2 linked regions of the Saccharomyces cerevisiae S288C genome follow. The protein of the gene in region 2 interacts with the protein of the main gene of each other region in a biochemical or structural test. Each region holds a gene or a part of one and is shown on either strand. Other genes may lie near its edges.

The links. The genes of interacting proteins can lie anywhere in the genome.
Region 1: of the proteins of FPK1 (region 2) and DNF1, one has a biochemical effect on the other in vitro, tested with the Saccharomyces cerevisiae proteins (one study listed by BioGRID).

What each region holds. Positions count from the first base shown.
Region 1 is NC_001137.3:510,204-517,987, reverse strand, and holds DNF1 (aminophospholipid-translocating P4-type ATPase DNF1), read right to left. Parts: upstream 5,245-7,784; coding exon 529-5,244; downstream 1-528. Other genes in the region: PAB1 (polyadenylate-binding protein), read right to left, coding at 5,882-7,615. UniProt on the Saccharomyces cerevisiae protein: Catalytic component of a P4-ATPase flippase complex which catalyzes the hydrolysis of ATP coupled to the transport of glucosylceramide, phosphatidylcholine, phosphatidylethanolamine, and small amounts of phosphatidylserine from the lumenal to the cytosolic leaflet of the cell membrane and ensures the maintenance of asymmetric distribution of phospholipids.
Region 2 is NC_001146.8:706,842-712,588, reverse strand, and holds FPK1 (serine/threonine protein kinase FPK1), read right to left. Parts: upstream 4,067-5,747; coding exon 1,385-4,066; downstream 1-1,384. Other genes in the region: YNR048W (putative aminophospholipid translocase regulatory protein), read right to left, coding at 1-959; RNA methylation protein TRM112, read right to left, coding at 4,394-4,801; PET494 (Pet494p), read right to left, coding at 4,981-5,747. UniProt on the Saccharomyces cerevisiae protein: Flippase activator that phosphorylates DNF1 and DNF2 and which is involved in the generation of phospholipid asymmetry in membranes by the inward translocation of phospholipids and in the retrieval pathway from early endosomes to the trans-Golgi network (TGN).

The DNA.
Region 1 (7,784 bases), on a different chromosome or scaffold from region 2:
CTGAATAACTAGGCATGAACCTTTTTTCACGCAAATAATAACAATAGGCCTAGGATTTCTATGATATAATAAACTTTCTGTTAGTATAAAAAACTATTTTTGATAAATATAGTCTCTCACCTAGTCAAAAACATACGTATCACGGCTTGATTAATTCTTAACTCTACTTTACAACATTTCAAAAATTCCTTTGATCATGACCTTAATCAATTTTTTTGCCAGTTAGTGGAGAGTTCCCAGCGCTGGAAAGTGCTGGCGTCAGTTTTCCATCGGAAGAAAAAATTAGCCCACCATTGTGCGTCCTTGAATAATAGCGATCCGGGTTAACCGGGAGTGTTAATTATAGAACAAAGAAACCCACACGTCCGCTACTAAAACTTGCTAAAAGAAAGAGTTAACGCTGTAGTATGCATGAATTCCAAGGCTTCTAAGGCTTCTAAGGCTTCTAAGGCTTATCCAGTAATATTATGTAATATTATATATACAGTGAAAAGCGGAGTTCCATCAGCTATGGTTCGGATATCATTATTAATTGTTCTGTTGTGTTCCGATTAAGGAGGCTGCGTTAGTTACGCCTGGTAGATCTAGAGATGTTCTCGCTCTTTCCACAGAGTAGCGGTTATCTAGTTGGTTAGTGGCGATCATCTGTTCTCTTGTGCGGTCCAAGGATGACCTGACGTTGGTTGATGGGCCTCTTCCGAACGTTTGGGCCTGCTGAAATTGGGGCGATTGAAGAAGATCTTGTGTTTCCTTGGGTGAAGTCATCCAGGTTTCTTGCTTCTGATATCCGCTAGGACTTCCATCTTCACCGTGCATGAAAGTCATTGGAATCTCCTCTGTGACAACACTATCCCTTGAATAGTTCGATCCTCCTAAGTTGTCGGAAAGTGCTATGCCTTCTATAATCTTCTCTCCGTGTTGCCCAGCTTTTGTGACCTTGGGTCTGTTGGGATCTGTTGGATCGTAACCAGGAGGATAATGATCGAAATGGCCATGTTGCCACATCTCTCTTACTATTTCCACATCAGTTGGGTAGAAAAATTTTTGAAAACTGTCATATGTGAAACGGGGCAGTAAGCAGAACAGCACGGCAACAAAGAAAACAGCCCAAAATGAAGGTGCTCCATAGATACGCGCTGCAGCTTTGAAAAATTCTCTACTAGCTATCGCAGAAGACCATATTCCCGTCCATGCAAAAACTACGAGGCAAGACAGTGCAATGAATAATCCACTAAACCAATCCCATCTATATTGGTGTAATAAAACATATGTGTTACACGAAATTACAGCAATAGTGGTCACATAAACACCGACAAAATAACGATGATCCAATCCTAACCCATTGCTCGTAACTATCATATTTTTGTGATAAACCAAGTAAGGGAAAAAAAAACAGATAATAGACTGATATAATCCGTCCAACATATACCATAAGAACTTTCTTTGGTTCCATTCTTTCCTTAAAATTCCAACACGGTATAACTGAGGGACCACTAATGATATTGTGTCATTCACGTCCTGGTCCAGAATACCTAAGAAGATGACTGGTAGGGATGTAAATGCCAAATTATAGAACATCATGTATGTGTATTCATACAGGTAAGACCCATCAAAATCATTATAGATACCATACCAGAACAATGCCAAAGCAAAAATCATGTTTTTGTAAAAAAACTCAGGAATCATTTCTGCCAGTCTCTTATAAGACCACCTACCGTGAACGAGGACCAATCTAGCCAAATATCTGAATTGTCCAATGGCGTAGTCTGAGCACATAACAGCTTGTCGACCTTCTTCACCGGCAATACCAATACCAACATCCGCAGATTGAATCATGGCGACGTCGTTGGAACCATCGCCGATGGCTAGTGTCATGACATCTAGAGAATCCTTGACTAACTTAACAACGGCTGCTTTTTGAGATGGAGATACTCTACAGCATAAGACAGCTCTACAATTCTTGCAGAGTAAAAGAAACTTTCTTCTTATATCTTCACCATATAGCGCCAATTTCAAAGCATCACCATCGATAACGATGGCGTAATTACCCTTCGGAAATTCGTGATCCTTTTTAGCTTCAAAAATCTCTTCTTCTGAACCGGTTAAGTTGAAATACTCCTTCAAGTATTTGGAGAGTAAAGCATCCACAATTTCACTTGGTTCTGATCCGAATTCTTTCACGTCATCACCAGTTGTTTTAATAACTAACAATTCCATTTCATTATTCAAAAGGTTGCAAGAAAATCCAATGTTTATAGCTGTTTCAACTTTATCACCCGTAAGAACCCATAATTTAATTCCTGCCTCTGCAAGCAACTCTATACAATCCGGAACACCATCTTGTAAACGATCTTCGATAGCTGTACCGCCCAATAATATCAATTCGCGTTCAATGGAATCTGCAACAACTTCTAATTCATCCTCTCTGTTTGCTAATGATGCAGCAGCAATATCGTACTTTTCGTTCCATTTTTCGTATTCAGACCAACTTAACTCCCTTTGAGCTATGCATAACGTTCTTAAACCTTCAGTAGCGTACTGCTCTAAATGCAAAGCAGTTTTTTCCAAAATAGCTTCACTATTGCTACCACTCTGGCGACTTAATCTTGAGTATATAATGGAATCTGCACCTTTACAAATTAAAAGTGCTCTAGGCTCGTCCCCTGGGTTCAGACCCGGAATTTTGACAATACAGGACATTCTTTTTCTCGATGAATTAAACTCCAAAATATTTAGAATCTCAAATTCTTTTTGAATACCTTGCATTTCAATTATCAACCCTTTTTTGGTTTTTCCAACAAAACTGAATCCTACATCTCTAGCTGTGGCTACTAACGCTGCTTCGTCTGGAGATTGAGCTTTTAAATCCAGTTTTTTTGGATTGTCCGGGTTTGCTTCTACAAGGACGGAGTGACATAAAGCTAATGCTAACATAAAGTGCTCACAGCATCTTTGTTGTACTTCACCACTAGCCCCTTTCAAATCGCGAACGAACTCCTTTGATACAAAGGTAACTTCTTCGGGATAAAATTGTGAATTTCCTGATAAAGCTCTCAGTTCATCGATCATTGTATCCCTATCCTTGGCAATTTCGGCCTTCTCACGCCTACCTTCGGTTTCGACGTCGATACCTTGTCTTTTTCTTAATCCCGCTAACGCTTCGGTGTAAGCTCTTCCATATGAAACACCATTGATAGTACATTTTTTAAACTCCATTACATTTTGAGTTAATGTACCTGTTTTATCAGAAAATATATATTCCACTTGACCTAAATCGTCAGAAATATTCCAGGATTTTGGTGTACAAGGATAATCCAATTTGGCATTGTAGAGTAAAACGTCTCCGTAAATGAAGGCCGCTTGTGCAGTTTTGATGATCTCCACAGAAATGTACAAAGAGATTGGGACTAAAGATTGGTAAAGAATAACAGCAACCCAAAATGAGACGAAACCGTTTGTCGCCGCTGACCCAGCAATTGTTCCAAATTCATAGGAAAACCGTGATCTGCCTTTTTTGTCGTAATATACACCATTTGCAATACCAGAAACAAAACATAAGATGAAAAGTAGCACGAAATTTATCACCACAGAGAAGTTTAGTTCTCTTGAAATCCTGGACTTCTTGGTGGGTGTAATGCCAGAGTTTAACATGATTTTTGTGTCACCACCGGTAAACATTACAACACCCATTGCCCACTTAGTATTTCTAAGAGTGCAACCACGAAGCAGAACGTTATTAATAGTAATTGGCTCATTTCGTATCTCGCCATCTGCAAGATTTCTCCATTTCATATTACCTTGATAAGTGTACAAATTTGAGTGGGGCCCTTCACTTTCGATCCAGAATTTTGTTCTAGCAATATCTTTTGACGTTCTTATAGTATTGGTACACTTCAAGGATTGGCGTACCTTTAAGTTTGTTTCACCATCCAAATTTTTAGTTTCTACGTAGCAGGCACCATCTGTATCCGACGTTGAAAGTAAGATAATGTCAGCAGGGATTTCATCATTGTTATGGATACGAACAATATCACCAACCTTGACACCTTTCCAATAATTCTTGGCAAATTTACAATCAGTTCTGGGTGGTAGGGATCTATCAACTATATTGGCTTCACCGGCCCCTTGTTCCAAATTATCATAATCCAATGAAGGACGGCCATAATCTGCAGATACTCTGTAACTGTCAATGGAGTCTAGAGAGGATCTGGGTCCACTCGTTCCAACAGTTTTTTGTACTCTTAGTTCATGACGCTTTCTCTGCATTCTCTTCTTTTTGCCCTCTTCAGTTAAATGTTCTTTACAATATTGTATAAACTTGAAAAGGAGTCTAGAGTTTGCTTTCTTAAACCTTCTCCACAATGAAATATTATCGGTTGAGACATTTTCGTTCTCAACACCTTCTAAAATATGTGTCTTGGTATTATTCACCTCTAAATCTAGGACGGTTCTTCTTGAGTCTTCAATAGCATCCTTGATCGCAGTGATTATAACAATGACAACTAACGGAACCGCACTTAAACCAGGGTTCGTGACACCAAAAATTTGAAATGCACCTAAAATTATTAAAACTAAGAAATAAACGTTGGCGAAATTATGAAACTGAAATAGAATGTTTTTTGGTAAGAATGTTAACGGGGTATATTTGGTAGTTCTGATTTTATTACGAGGATACTGCATAATGGGGTTGCCTTCTTCATCTATCATATCTTTTGGTAAGGGCATATTGTAATACACAGTCCTTAGTTCTTGCGCACGATTTATGGCACCAGGGTCAATATCATCCTTCGTAAAGTCTTCAAATGGGTTTGGAATGTTCTTCCTAGCCCATTTCAAGGTCTTAGATCTTCCCATTATTGGGTTTCCTTTTTTATTCCTTTTTGTACCCATCCGGAATCTTTTCATACCATCGTAGTTAGTGTGCGGTTCACCACTATCATTGTCTAATTCCACATCATCAAACGTCCCAGATCCATTATTAAGTTTCGGTGTTGGCTGAAAGGAATGATTGTCATATTCTGTGTCATCGTTAAATGTGAATTCTTCTGCATCTTCACGTTTATTTTTGGGTGTTTCATCATTGAAGCTGACCTGTGGCCGGCTGTATTTGTTGCTTGTTGCACCATCATCAAAATGGGTAGGTGCAATATGTGTATCTTCATTACTGCTATTATCTTCAAATTGAAATGTATCTTCAAAGGGCGACATGGGAGCATGCCCATCGCCATGAAAAGTTCCAGACATAATTATCAACTAACTTTCCTTTTTAAAGTTAACTGCGTTTTTATTTCACTTCCAGGAGGAAATAAAGGATTTCTGTTACGGTTGCTTTCCCTTGCTCAACCTCCGGTTAATTTTTGAGTGTTTTTAATTGCGACCCTAAAAATCCACTTAAAACTGTCTGAGTTGCGTATTACGATGACCTTCGGTTATTAAAGGTCAAATTTCATAAAGTAAAAGCTAAGTGAGACTTTGCTCTGTGAAATTTTATCAGCTTTGTACCTCCAGTTAGTTGAATGCGGTGATGAATAGCAAGGTACCCTCACTTGATTTGTCAATTTTTTGTAAATTAGTATTTTCCTGGAACCTGTTGGTCTTTTTTCCGTGCTATTTTGTTTATTTTCCGCGAAAACTAACATTCTGCCGTTAATAATGAGACCTCAAAAAAACGCAACTAATAAACTCAGTAATGAAGTCTAATAATAGTAAAATGATACTTCTCTTGACAGTTAAAAACAAAAAACGTTTGCATTTTGTCAATAAGAGCGAGTATTTAGGTTACAAAGGATAATAACTAGTATTTAAGACAAAAAAAAAAGGGAAGGGAGAAAAAAAAGATGATAAGTTTGTTGAGTAGGGAAGTAGGTGATTACATAGAGCATTAAGCTTGCTCAGTTTGTTGTTCTTGCTCCTTTTTGAAAGACTCATAGGCAGCAGAAGCTTCTTTGTAGTGTTGTTCGAACAATTCATCACTTTCCAACAATGGGAAGACCTCTTGAGGTGGCAAATCCAAAATCATACCAGTAATTTTACCAGCTGCTTCTTCATTTGAAGTCTTAGCAGAAACCTTCTTGTATAATTGTTCACCCAAAGCTTGTCTTTGCTTTTGTTGATAAAATTGGTTGTTATCGTTGGCATTTCTTGGGAAACCACCTTGTGGGGGGACGCCGTAAACCGGACCATTTCTAAATTGAGGTGGCATGCCGTTCTTTGGCATACCGCCCATTGGGTTCATTTGTTGTGGGTTTGGACCGTTGAATGGAACACCTCTTGGTGGCATAACACCATAGAACATTGGAGGCATGAATTGACCTGGCATACCGGCAGCGGCGGCGGCAGCGGCAGCAGTAGCTTGCTGGTATCTCATTTGATTTCTGGCTTGGATTTGTTGAGCCAATTGAGAACGTCTTACGTCTTTTCTTTGAGCAATGGCAACGTATAATGGCTTACCAGCAACAATTTGTTGGTTCTTTTCTGTAATGGCCTTAGTAGCTTCCTCTGGAGTTGAGAAACAAACAAAACCAAAACCCTTAGACTTACCGTTTTCGGTTCTCATAACCTTTGCAGAAGTGATAGTACCATATGGAGCAAATTCTTCTTCCAACTTTTCGTCATCAACGCTGTCATCTAAGTTCTTAACAAACAAATTAACACCTTGGTACTTGGCCATTTTTTCCAATCTGTAAGCTTCGTATTGCTTCTTCAAGACATGCATACGTTCATTCTTCTTTTGGGCACGACCAACGTATAACTTTTCTCCATTTAGTTCAGAGTCATTCAAAGCTTCAACAGCTTTCACAGCGTCTTCATGCTTTTCGTAGTTAACAAACCCGAAACCCTTCAATTTTCCATCAGCATCCTTTTCCAAAGAGGCAGAAACAATTGGACCAAATTTGGCAAACAATTCTTGGAATTGTTCGTCAGTAGTTTCGGAGTTGATGTTTTTCACATAAAGGTTAGTGTAATGTGCCTTAGTCTCTTCCAATTGAGAGTCACGTTCCTTTCTGGACAAGTGAGGAGCAACATAAATTTCTTGACCGTTCAACAGCATACCATTCAAAGCATCAATAGCTTCCTTGGCAGCACCTTCTTCTTCGAAGTGAACAAACCCAAAACCCTTGGATTTTCCGTTTTCGTCGGTGGCAATCTTGCTGGACAAGATGTCACCAAACACAGAGAAAGTGTCATACAAAGCCTTGTTGTCAATATCAGGGTGCAAGTTCTTGATAAAGATGTTACCAGAACCCTTCTTTCTCAATGATGGGTCACGTTGAGACCACATAATACGGCATAATCTACCCTTGATTGGAGTGTAGTTCAATTGCTCAATTGCTTTTCTGCCGGCTTCATGGTCGTTAAAGTTAACATAAGCATAGCCCAAAGAGGTCTTAGTGATGGCATCACGACAGACACGAATGGAGGAGACTGAACCGATTGGAGAGAAGATATCATATAAGTGGGCTTCGGAAACAGAAGGTTCTAAGTCACCAACATATAATGATGCAGAAGAGTTTTCAACAGATTGGCTTTCTGAACCAGTGGCGGCTTGCTTTTGGTCATCTTGAATATTCAAGTTTTCCAATTGTTCAGCTGTCTTATCAGTAATATCAGCCATTTTATTTTTATTGGTTTTTTAGTTTTTTTTGGATTTTTTTTTTTGAGTTTTTATTGAATAAAAAGCCAGATATTAGGTGGTGGTACCAGGGCCTGCTCTATGCTTCAAACGGTTATTAAGTAAAAATGTTACTTCGTAGCTCACTGTCCTAAAAATACAAAATCAAAAC
Region 2 (5,747 bases):
AAAGATTTTGTTCCATAGAAAGATCTTACTGGGTAGTTGAGTTCTATATCAGCAATGTAAATACCCTTACCTAACCCATTGGTCTCATTTTTCATTGCTAGCTTATAGAAGTTGGGCAATGCAGCAGTTCTCATCCATATTTTGAACTGTTCCCAGTTTTGTAGGTCTGGAATGTTATCGTCAGTGTAGCCATTGGGAAATAACTTGGCCCAATTTGGGGGCGGTACGATATCGGATGCATTGTATTCGGTCTTTCCATATCTGTGGCTGTCGGTGTCCCACGCAATACCTTTTGTGGTAAGCAAATAATCTGCAGTATCGTTTACACCAGTAAGTGTTGTGCCGAATGTATCATTGAACATCGAATTTGCTATCAATCCACAGGGGAATATGGTCTTATTTTCTACCGTCCTTAAAGGGTCACAGTTTGGATCCAGATCATTTCCGATCAATGCTTTTCCTTTTAATTGGTCTAGGTCAAGAGATTGCACATATTCTCTATAGTTTTGATTGAAATTTGTTAGGCGGTAATAAACATAAGTAGATTTCTTGATATGATTTGGAACTTCGAACTGTATTCGACAAGTTTGATTGCCTAATTCAGGATCCGTAAGTACCATCCATTGAGGTTGGACTGCGACTTTCTTACTGAAGTGGTAGTCCACGTACTCGGAGGGAATCGTTTCAAAATGCTTCGCCGGTGCCAATGCATCACATTCTGTGTAGTTTACCACTAGTCTTTGGACACTTATCGTGCTGACCACCAGCCCTATACCAATGGGTGCGAAGACGCATGCCATCAAAATAAGCAACGGCAGTACGCTCTGTGGCGACAAGATGGGCTGCCAGGCTTTGAGGCGCTGTTGTCTAAACGATGTGTTTGCCGGTTTCCTGGATTTTTGAGCATTTTGCTTACTAGACAACTGTTTTTTCTCTTTCCACCTTAATATCAGTCCCATATTGCACAAAAAAATCTAAGTTCCAGCACTTTATTCTAGATGTTAACTATTGATTAGATATCTATTTGCTTTTAACTTGTATATTGCGCCATCCTTCTATCGTTTCTTCAACTATCGCGTGAAAAATAGTACGCAAGCAAATCGAAAAAACTACATAGAGTTCATTGAAAAGAAAGGCAATGCTTCATCTGATGTTTACACAGAATGCTAGAAATTGAAACACCGATATATGATTTATTTAAGTTACACACTACTGACTAACTGACAGAGGAAAGAAAATAAAGAAAAAAAAATAGGTAGATAAGGATTTTGAAAAGAAATAGAGTTCGTTAAATGTATGATGAATAAATGAGGGAAAAAATAAGAGTGAAAAAAAAATCAATAAAAAAAAAAAAAATACCGACACTTATACGTCAAAGCCCCCTTTATCTCTTAAAAAAGGTTCGATGACTATTACTCCTCGATCTGTTGGAGTTTGGAGTGTATGCAATTTTCCCATAAGAATTGGTATTACCATAAATCATTGAATTGTTATCCTGTTCCATCAAACTCATTGAATTGAAGTCATGGAATGGATCATCTTCAGAGACTTCATCGTCGTATTCAACTCGTTCTTCAAACATATTTTTCTCTTGCTCATCGAGATGTTTATGGCTGTCTTGACTAGTCTGTCTCTTCTTATTAGATGATAATTTAGCAAAATCATATCCATCCTCAGATAACACTGGTATCAGAGGCGGTTCTTGATTTCTCAGCAAAGACCATTGGACTTTCTTGAAAAAGGGGTGTTTCTTCACGTCGGCAGCGCCCATTTTGCAACCCAGTCTTTTAGATTCATTTTTTGTCAGTAATTTTTTGATCAAATCCTTACAAGTTCTGGAGATTTCATTGTTATTGGGAAAACTGACCTCATTTTTCAAAATATTCGTAAAAGTTTCATTTGTGTTATCGCCTTTGAATGGAGTGAAACCAAATAACATTTCATAGATCAAAATCCCTAGCGTCCACCAATCGACCGCAGCGGTGTGGCCATTACCTCTTATGACTTCAGGGGCAATATATTCTTCAGTTCCGACAAAGGAATTGGTTCTAAACCCATCTGAGCATATTTTGGTATCAACAAGGGTTGATTGAGCGGAACCCTTGACAACAGGAACCTTGGAATCTTTAGCCTGAATAGACAAGTCGAAGTCAGAAAGCATGATATGGCCTGATTGATGCAGCAAAATATTCTCTGGTTTTAAATCTCTATAGATAAAACCCAACAGATGTAAATATTCTAGTGCTGCTGTCACTTCACTGGCATAAAACCTGGCATCGTCTTCACATATACATTTGGTTTTCCTTGTTTGTAAAGCTCTGAAAAACTCCCCGCCCATACAGTATTCCATACAGAGATACAAATAGTCTTCAGATTGGAACGAATGGTATAGTGTGACGATGAAGGGATGATTGCTGGTGGCAAGAATCTCTTGTTCTGTCAGAACACGTTTGATTTTATTTCTTTTTATCATTTCGTCTTTACTCAAGACTTTCAAAGCATACACTCTATTCGTCTTTTTCTCTCTTACTAAGAAAACTTTACCTACATCACCTTGGCCCAGCAATCTTATTTTCTCAAAAGACTGTGGTCCCACCATGATATCTTGAAATTTATTGCTGAAAGATTTAGTTCTCAAACGTCGGGACCTCCTAGGTTCTGGAAAATCAGAAATCTTTGGAGAGGGTTCTTGAGGGAAAAATGAGTTTGGAGGAGGCACTGATTGGCCTGGGATTTTGTCGTTTATATTACTGGACCCTGATGTTTTCCTTGCTGAAGAAGATGTCGGCGATGTGGCAGATGCGAGTTGCAACCCGTTTGGTTCTGAAGCTGCTCTTCTTAAAGGTATTTTTATCCTTGGATGGGTAGCTTTACCATTTTGTTTGGTAGGTGAAAGATTTCTCGTTTTATTGTCGGTTGTCGTTTGTTGTTCTTCCTTTTCATCATGTTTATCATTGTTGTTATCTTCCTCGTACTCATTGTCAAATCCGACAATGATTGAAGGGAACGTTTGAGTAATCGTGGGGCTCTTGGAACTACCTCTACTGGGTGAGCCATTCAGCGTATCTTTGAGCGATAAATCTTTCGGAATATCGTGAAAGAAGAAATCCTCGTTATTGAATTCTTGCACTTCTTCATTTTCCTTAATCTCGTTTAGTGATAAATTACTTAAATTTTTGGTGTTTGTCAAAGAATTTGTCTTCGAGGTGGGGGTGGACAAAAAGTGAATGCCGCTGCCATTTGCATATGGTTGGAATCCTTCATCGAGGTCGTGAGAAGACATGGCATGAGTTGGTAGACCTTGGTATGCAAAATATGGGTTACTACTGCGTACCGTACCTGCCCTTTCTCTGAATGGATTGTTGGAAGAAAACCCCTGAGATCCTGAATGGTGACGATAATTATTTGGTCTGATAGCAGAGGTGCTACTAGAGTTATTCGAGTTCTGACTGGGCATTATCGGAGTAGACGGTGATCTTCTCCTACCCGTCCCAGTCCTGGCAACAGTAGGACTGAAAGAGGATGATGAAAGCATTATTGGAGACCCGCAATTCGAGTGTTCACGCTCATGTTCATGTTGATCTATATGTACCATCTTTGGTGTTTGAAGAACATCCGTTTCCGGGATCGTGGGAGAAAGTGGTGGAGATGCCGGAGAAGCATTGGCAACAGAAGTCATTGGTTTAACGTATCTTAACTTAGATGAAGATGACGCCGAGTCACCTTCAAGACTGCTTTGGCTGCTGTTATGGGCACTGGCATTTTTGCTGCTATTGCCGGATTGGAACATACTTTTCAATTTAGAAAATCGTGAAGACTGGCCCTCTGAGCCACTATTATTGTGATCTGATTCTCTCGAGTTCTCTGGATCCGAATACAGATTCACGCTAGACACACTCATGTTGTTCGATGAACTCGCATTCCTTTTCCATGACCGCGTAAGCAACTTCGAAAAGGATATACTTCTAGTCCTTTCTGATCCAGTAGTAGGCCGTTGAAGGGAATCGTGTTCGTGTTCTTGCTCGTGGTCGCGCTCTTGTTCATGTTCGTGATGGTGTCCAGCCATATTCTCTTGCTGTTTTCCAAATGATACTACCTTCAAGGCCCCTGAACCTTCAAACCGGCGACTTTGCTGCCTTATATGCCGGTGAGTCCTTAAAACAGGAGAGTATCTCGTTCTTTAAAGCTCTTAGAATCTGTATCTCCAAATCACGCGCGACGGGAAGGCTCAAATAGAAACTGTGGTGGGTTAGATCTCAGTCTTTGTTTTCCTTTTAGGTTGTTTATGCTACATGTTTGATGCCATACGTATATGAGGCTACTACTACATATATAGCTGTGTATATAGTTGTCTTTTCGTCTTGCGTGCCCACACACAGAGATCTCGCTTGATTTATACCAGGTGTGGAGGTAACAGCAAGTTTGGAATGCCGTTCTTGATGTAATAGATATGTCCGCAGTTCCTACACTTCATTTCACCTTCGGCAATGGACGTCTGTAGCAGTAAAGTATGCAAGTCATTAAGGATGGCCATGTCGTCATCGGTGAGCTCCTGGATCGAAGATGGGAAGGATGGTTTGGTAGGAGGTAAGGCGTTGTTTCCCAATTCGGCAGCAACCGTGAGCACTGCAGGCCAGTCTACGCGGTCGACTATGTTCAGAAGGAATTCTGGATTGAACTCGATAGATTCATCCTGTACCAATTGGCATTTGCTGCCGTCGTACTGTAGGGGGAAGTTGTCGTTGCTGGTGTCACAGGCTTTAACGGAGCACTTTAGGAAGTTGGTGGTTAAGAACTTCATGTTGACTAGGCTAGTAATATGATGTGTAGAGCCGAAGAGATCATAGGATGCTACAGTAGCTTCATTGCTGGTGAAGTAGTTTTGCTTTTAAAGCTCATCGATGAAAATTTTACCCAAAAAGATACAGTTTCGTATGAGATGATGAGTGTGATTTGGGAGGTACATATTTACATGTTTTATTAAGAAGAGTCCGCCTGGATATCAGAAATGCGTTTCAGCAGCGCAACCACGTCCCTATTTTTGCTTAGAATTTGATAACAGGTTCTCTTCTCTGCCTGCGAAATGGTACCAAGTATTTGAGAGCGGTCTTCATCTCTCGGCAGTAGGATTCTGACGGTTGGCCCTGCGTGTTTCTTCTTGTTGCGTTGTAGGAAACAATTTAGTTTGAGGATGCTGATTAGTTTGAATATATTGTCATTATAGTCGTATTTGCAGCCTGTTTCTTGCAAGTTGATATATCCCTTGAGTAGTCGTGTGTATGTTTCCAGAGATATGCTCGGTACTGGCTTGTTGACAGATGGAGAATTTACATTAGGGAAAAAAAGTTGAGTACGTTCGTTGTAGGGATTCATTACAATTGAAGAGTATTTCTGGAATATCCTGTTATCCTGCATGGAGTCATTAATTAATATATCGTAAAAATCTTCTTCGGTTCTGTTGTCGTAGATATTATGGGGGAAAAGGAAGGAATGGTCGTACAGCCAAAGACCCAACAGTTTTTTTACCTCGTTAGATCGCACCTTTCCATAGAATTGCTTAAACTCACCCAAGGTCTTCAAACTGTTGTCGTGAAGTTCTGTGCAGATGAATTTCAATATCGTTGGGTATTTAGACCAGTTCGGCAGTTGAAAATTCTGCACTTTCTCAGGTGATGTCACTATCTTATCGAAATTTTTATTCCACAGGTCGTAGAACACGTCTATCCTTCGATGAGTACCTTGTACCT